2 separate regions of the Mus musculus genome follow, and region 2 is reported to be linked to region 1. The links are microRNA targets in miRTarBase. Many come from high-throughput screens and were not tested one by one. Region 1 holds a microRNA gene; the other region holds the end of a gene's coding sequence.

Evidence for each region. Region 1 holds the annotated microRNA mmu-miR-679-3p (AGCAAGGUCCUCCUCACAGUAG, at 1,456-1,477, shown strand). A microRNA usually pairs through its seed, bases 2 to 8, with sites in the 3' UTR of a target mRNA and lowers its output. Matches are read on the target gene's strand: a 7mer-m8 pairs with bases 2 to 8, a 7mer-A1 pairs with bases 2 to 7 and ends in A, and an 8mer does both.
Region 2: the mRNA of Cpeb1 is a reported target of mmu-miR-679-3p. Seed matches in the 3' UTR shown: 7mer-A1 at 2,702-2,708.

The regions. Positions count from the first base shown.
Region 1 is chr12:109,714,169-109,717,575 of GRCm38, forward strand. Mir679 (microRNA 679) reads left to right here and starts at 1,409; the gene lies at 1,409-1,482. It overlaps Mir494 (microRNA 494), which reads left to right and starts at 1,150; the gene lies at 1,150-1,234. It overlaps Mir1193 (microRNA 1193), which reads left to right and starts at 1,503; the gene lies at 1,503-1,623. It overlaps Mir666 (microRNA 666), which reads left to right and starts at 2,917; the gene lies at 2,917-3,015. It also overlaps Mir543.
Region 2 is chr7:81,345,262-81,348,668 of GRCm38, forward strand. Cpeb1 (cytoplasmic polyadenylation element binding protein 1) reads right to left here. Exons shown (of 12, transcript NM_007755.5): 12 at 1,765-3,178. The coding sequence ends at 3,080. Among named protein-coding and RNA genes, the nearest start is that of Rps17, 1.7 kb to the left of the region's middle.

The DNA.
Region 1 (3,407 bases):
CAGCCAACCCCTGCTATAGGACTGTCTATTGTAGAGAACACCCACTGTGTCAGATGGTACCTAGATCCATGCTATTCACACACACCCACATCCTTGTAATAAGAGACTTGGAATCAGCAGTGTTCTAGCAGTAGGAAAGCAAACCTGAAATTGGCACACACATTTGCCCAGTGAGCTTTAAGATATGAAATCTGGAGCGGGGCAGTGGTGGCGCACGCCTTTAATCCCAGCACTTGGGAGGCAGAGGCAGGTGGATTTCTGAGTTCGAGGCCAGCTTGGTCTACAGAATGAGTTCCAGGACAGCCAGGGCTATACAGAGAAACCCTGTCTCGAAAAAAACCAAACCAACCAACCAACCAAACAAACAAACAAATAAACAAAAGATGTGAAATCTGTTCTTAGTCCTTAACTCCACCCAGGGTTGTGGTCAGCAGTAGAGCTTTCTGTGGGGTTCCAGGTAGAACACAATTCTCATCTGCAAATCATGAGCCCTTTTCATAGGCATTTCATATCAGATATCTACATTATGATTTATAACAGTAGCAAAATCACAGTTATGAAGTAACATTGAAAATAATTTTACAGTTGGGGATTACCCAACATGAGGAAGTATATTAAAGGGTCACAGCACTAGGAAGGTTGAGAACCACTCGACCAGGGGGTGGAACTGCCTGCCCCTGCCTGCTGCTTCTTTATACTACCACATGTGCTGGCACACATTTACCTTCCTACTAACTTTATAATGTGTCTGCTTTTAGAATCTTACCTTCCCTGGAAACTACCCAGACTCACAACCAGAGGGCTGGGTCGCTTCTCATCACCCACCTACCTCTTGGAACCAGAATCCGAGGCTCATTCCTGAACACCCCCAATGTACTGTACTTGTTGAAGTTGAGAGCTACTATTCCCCTGTTATCTCCTGAGGCACAATTTCTGGGGTCCCTGGTTCCCTTCAGTGACCCCCCCTAAACCTGGAGAGATAAGGAATGCAGGTGGTCTGTGTTGTTGGTAAATAGTCTCAGGCAATTCTGTGGACTGTCAAATTGCACAGGGGTTTTGGTTGCTCTCCAGGGCCCACAGAAGCAGACACTTCTGACAAGGCACCTGGCACTTTCCAGCTGCCTTTGTTTGCTTTCTGACCAGTGCTAATTGATACTTGAAGGAGAGGTTGTCCGTGTTGTCTTCTCTTTATTTATGATGAAACATACACGGGAAACCTCTTTTTTAGTATCAAATCCCACCCTGGGGGCACTCCCTGTCCCTGATGACGCCTTCAGGGAAGGGACCTGGACTGCTGTTCCCTGGACTCTGGGACATGGGACATGGGAGTATGGCATCAGGACTCAGCCCTGGAAGGAAAGTCATTTGAAGAAGGGACAGGGTCCCCGTGGTGGCCTGAGGCTACTCCCTATGGCTTTGGACTGTGAGGTGACTCTTGGTGTGTGATGGCTTTTCAGCAAGGTCCTCCTCACAGTAGCTATAAGGACGTGCCAGCATCGTGACTGAAGGGACAATGATGCCCACTGTTCTCGGGGTAGCTGTGTGGATGGTAGACCGGTGACGTACACTTCATTTATGCTGTAGGTCACCCGTTTTACTATCCACCAACACCCAGACCATCTGTGGGAAGACACCTTGGTGCACACGGCAGCTATGAAGAAGATGTTGGTGGGGTTGAGGCCAGCGTGAAACTAAAATATTTCAAGCAGAGTTAGCTTTTAAGGGGGATCCTTTTTCTGCTTGTGTGTGTACATATATGTGTTCAAGAGAGAGAGTGTGTGTGTGTGTGTGTGTGTGTGTGTTGGGGGGGGGCTACCATGGGCGTGACTTTCATTTTATGATCCTGTATCTTTGCAGTAAACAACGCCATCCTGGAGGATCCCCTGAATGTGAAGCTATATCCCAAGCTGGGGCACATTTCTCCTGGTGGGTGAGTGACAGGTCTCTCTAGCCCAGCATCAAGCCCACATCTGTCACTTATGGCATAGGCTTCGTTGTTCTTGCTCATCTCCATGTCTGTTCAATTTTGCTTGTCTTCTGAGGATTCAAATCATTGGCTGCTTCCCAGCACAAGTACCTGACTAGGAGATGTATTTCAGATATGACATCTCCTTAGGGAAGGACACCAGAGTCCTCATCAATGGAAAAGGTATGTCATGGTGTTCTGTCTGAAAGAATATATTATATTTTCATGTGTGTCCTTCTTTACTAATGCTGAGTATGCCTTCCATACCTAGGACGACCTCCTGATGTATTGCTACCCTGGGGGTGAAGGTGGCTTCCTTGCCCCTCCTCCAGGCTCCTGGCAAGTGGTTCTTGCAGCCATGGCAGAGACATAGAAAGTAAGTAGGAACTCTCCGACTGAGATTAGGAACTACTGTGATTCTGCTCATGTTTCATTGGTCAAGCCAATGAAGGGTGGGGAGGTGCCCTGTAGCCATGTCATGAGGGAGAGAACATGTGTACAAGCATAGGCAACCAACTATCTACCTGGAACACCTAAGAAGTCTATCTTTATTCATGTTCTTTTTTTTTTTTAATCTCAATGTTCCATTTCCCAGCAAGTGGAGGGTCAACAGAATCTGTTCTCAGAACACCACATGCCACTTACATATATTTTTGTCCAGGAGACATTGTCTCGTTCTGACAAAGGCTCAGATATCTTTTTGTTTCCCATTTCATGATAACCTCCTTGCATCAGGGCCTCCACCGTGGAACATAGGTTGATGTCCTCCCCTCTAGCAGATGGGTGGTGACCTCGACTGAGAGGTCACGGGACCCACCTCCTCTCTTGTCACGGATCCAGAGCTGGACTTTGGGAAGCAAAGTCAGGATTATTATATCATTCTCTGATGTTTGAGGAGACTCCAAAGACCTCCCCAAAGGATGACCAATCCAAAGCCTGTCTACAAGATCCTGATTCTGCCTGCGTGGAGCGGGCACAGCTGTGAGAGCCCCCTAGGTACAGCGGGGCTGCAGCGTGATCGCCTGCTCACGCACAGGAAGTGACGACAGCGGTACTCAAGCCACAGGAAGTGACGACAGCGGTACACAAGTGGTACACAGGGTTCCATGCTGCTGACGTACGGTGCTTAATGAGAAGTTGCCCGCGTGTTTTTCGCTTTATATGTGACGAAACATTCGCGGTGCACTTCTTTTTCAGCATCCTATTCTACGTTGAAGACTTCGGGGGTTCAACTACTTACTGACTTCAGGGAAGCCATGTTAGTCTAGGAAAGTAGTCTATGTAGTGAGCCTGGGTTGTGTGAGTTTATCTCCCTTCTTGAATGGTCCTCTGACCTTTCTTAATGAGAATGGGTTTGGGTTGGTTGGCTCCTGCTCCCTCCTCCCTCCTCCACAACACAGTGTCAAAGGAACCAGTTGACCAGACATTATTGATTCCTAGA
Region 2 (3,407 bases), not on the chromosome of region 1:
GGCCAGAAAGCCGCTTCCGCCTGGCTCGCGAGAGTCCCACAGCGGCCCCTAGCGGAGTGGAGTGAGGCTGCCTGGCTGTGGGCGGGGCGAAAGTCTGCGCGTGCGCACGCCGGCAGCTCGGCCGTCTTGGTTTCCACTCCAAATAGTTCCGTGCTTCTCTTGGGCGTCCGGTGTGTTTTAATCTAGGAGTTACTTTGAGGTCCTGAGATGGAGCCTAAAGGAGGCCCGAGCTATGAAAGGCATAGTAGTAAACAGGGTCATCCCCGATTTCCACCCTACCCGCGCCTCTAGTCAGAGATTAGTAGGGTCTAGCCTAATTGGTGAGGTTCCTCTCATTTCCTGGTGTCACAGCAAACATCACCTAGAGTGGCTTTTCTTCTCATCCCAGCACAGTATTCCATTCGAGCTGCTCTTAAATGTCTGAGCACAATTACTTTTCTCAGCTAGGTTTGAGCTAAACAGGAAGGGCTAACCTCGAGTGCTTAAATCAGTGGCTGGCTCACAGAGAGGTCTCAAACACTTTTACCAACAAATTAGGATCTCAGTTAACTAGACTGTTCCCGATTAGTAGGGACACTATCTCCAACCTTCAGCTTCTTCCGGTTGTTCTGCCATAACCAAGCCCAAAGCAGGCTCTTACGCTACGACCCAGTGGCTTCATCTGTCCAGAGAGGGCCTTTCCTCCAGCTCTTTCCTGGGACAGGGTCCTGCGCTCAAACCTAAGGAGACCGTGCTGGCCACAGGGCATGTATCAAGGGGCCAAGGCTGTGCTTCATCCTTCAACTCATCTACGTCACTCTGGTTAGGTGAAGAGCTGAAAGTCCTTACTCTAAAAGTAGCTCATGGCGGGAGGAAAAAAGATGTCCTTGACCATGGACCCGGAAGAATACTGAAGAGACCAAAGGGTCTGTAATCCCTGGGGGTTGCATCGTACATTACCAGTGAATTCCCAATGAAGTGGAGGCCAGGCTCCAGATGCAAGACTAGACCTTACAGTCTTGCAGGAAGAGAACTCTTGGATTCTGAGGAGTAGTGAGTTTTTGCACCTTACAAGGATTTAAGTACCTAGGAGTCCCTCTCCCTCAGACTAGAGTTTCCCAAAGGACCAGTTCAGCATGCTGCCGTCTCCACTTGAAAAATCATCAGACCTGTCATGAAGCCATGGAGCCTGTTAGAAAAGCTAGTGTAAGGGCTGTGAAGAAACAAAGCACTGCAGCGTGTCCTGGTGCATACCTTAATCCCAGCACGTGGGATGAATGGTAGGCAGAATTCCTGAGCTTGAGGCCAGGCTGGCTTACATAAGGAGTTCCAGGACAAGGCCACAAAGAAAGACCCTGAATCAAAAAAGCAAAATAGTAACCACTCAGAAAGGAATTACATCAGCACAAGTGTGTCCAAGAGGAAGGAGGAACACGTCAGGGCTCACAGGAAAGCAGCCAGCAAATGGCTCCTGACATCTTGGGAGTTGTGCCTCTAGCATTCCTAGGGCTCCATGTGGAGGAGGCCTTGAGGGGCCAAGAAGTAAAATGTACAGGCAGGCCTCCTATTCTGATTGTAATCACCCAGGTACTAGACACTCCAGAGTGGCTGACCAGGATGTAACAAGTCCCATATAGGAGCAGGTCTCCGCATGTACCTCCCATCCCTCTGGGCTGGTATCCCATTAGTGAAAATCCATGAAAAGAGGACTGGTCTCTGGAATCTTCCCTGCTTGCTACCACACCCCACCACACACACACCCAGATACAGAGACAAAACTACAACTCTGCTGCAACGTGTTTATTATGTGCCAAAAAAATTACACCACAGCTTACTCCACACATCTGTAGGAGAGTGCAGTCTTGCCTGCATATACAACAATGAGGTAGAGACTTCACACACAGCTTCACAAAACCCACAGAGTAGCTGGGATATGCAACAATGCAACATCAGCTCAGCAGGAGGGAGGGGTTATGACACTGGCTCTTTGGCACACAGCTTCCCTAAGAGAGGCAAGTAATCGTTAAATTAAAAAGAAAAGTCAAGTTTTCAATTCCAGTAGCGTCTTTGTCAACTGTAACTGTTGATTCATACATTCGTCAAATAAAAGTTGTAAGGAAGGGTATTTGCCCCTCTAAGAGAAAGGGCTCCTGTGAGCCTTCACCTGCCCCCACCAAAAAGCAGCCCTTTTTTTTTTTTTTTTAATTTTTAAGCTCAGTTACAAAAGAAAAAGTCCTGTGACTGTGATTAAAAACTTCTATCAACCCTCCCCCAACATAAGTGCAACATAAGGTGCCACAAACCATTTAAAACTATATACAGCAGCTGCTCAGACTTTTCCTCCGGTCCAGTTTTAAATAAAATAATTTTTCTCTTGGTTACAAATGCTTTGATTTGCAACTGTGACCAGCAGTCCCCCAGACACAAATTTGCTATAATGTTAAAAGCTGCCAAGAAAGAAAAAAAAATATATTGTTCCAAACGACTTAAAAACTGTTTTAAGGAGTGTAAAAAGGAACCAGTAAAAACCCTCGAGCGTAAACTATGAAATATGATTTGGTTTAAATGAAGAGCAAAGTCTCCTTTGTTTGTTACAGTAAAAAACACCAGCTGAACACTCAATTGATGCCGTTCAGGTGGGGGTTAAATCAATGGAAAGGCACTGTATGGCAACTGCAGAATGAACGAACCAATGAGACCTGCGCATCACCACCATCAGTATTGCAAGGAATGTAAAAAGCGCTTTAATAAATAAACCCAAGTGTAGGCATCTGTGTCAGACCTTCTGGACACAGTGGTTGTTGTTGTTATTTTCATTTGCAAAATGAGGAACTAGAATCTGGGAAAACTACAATTGCTTGAGGGTGAGCCGAGGGTCCTTGCTCTGGCACACCCCACTGAAAACAAGACCTGACAAAACTCATTGTGCATTAATTAGTGCAGAAACAAAGACAGAGTTAGCAAGTACAAAGGTGACTACGATTCTCCCTTGTCTGCGCAAAGCTAGCTCCCATGGCGCCTGTGCAGCGAGTTGCTGCCTGACTTGACAGCCTTTGGCACCACAGGACACTGGGCAAGGCCAGCTCCTCTAGCTGGAATCTCAGTTCTTCTGGTTCCTCATTAGGGGGCTATGGTGGCGTAGGCCTTCCATGCTGTGTCGCCAGTGCCAGCAGCTTCTGCAAAAGTACTTGAAGCAGACCTAGGTTAGGGGACAGAAAGAGCTGTGTTAACTCTAGATATAAAGGTTCCGCTTTAAGAGGAAATTAAACCCCTGGCTTCTGTGGGGGCTAGAAGAGAGACTTCCTGCTAGCTTTCTCATCCCAACAGAGCTTCTGCAAACAGTTTAGGCTTCTGGTATGACATGTGAGACCTTGTAGCTTCCCAATTTTCTTCCCTTCTCTTCTACACAGCCATTCATTCCGTCTCAA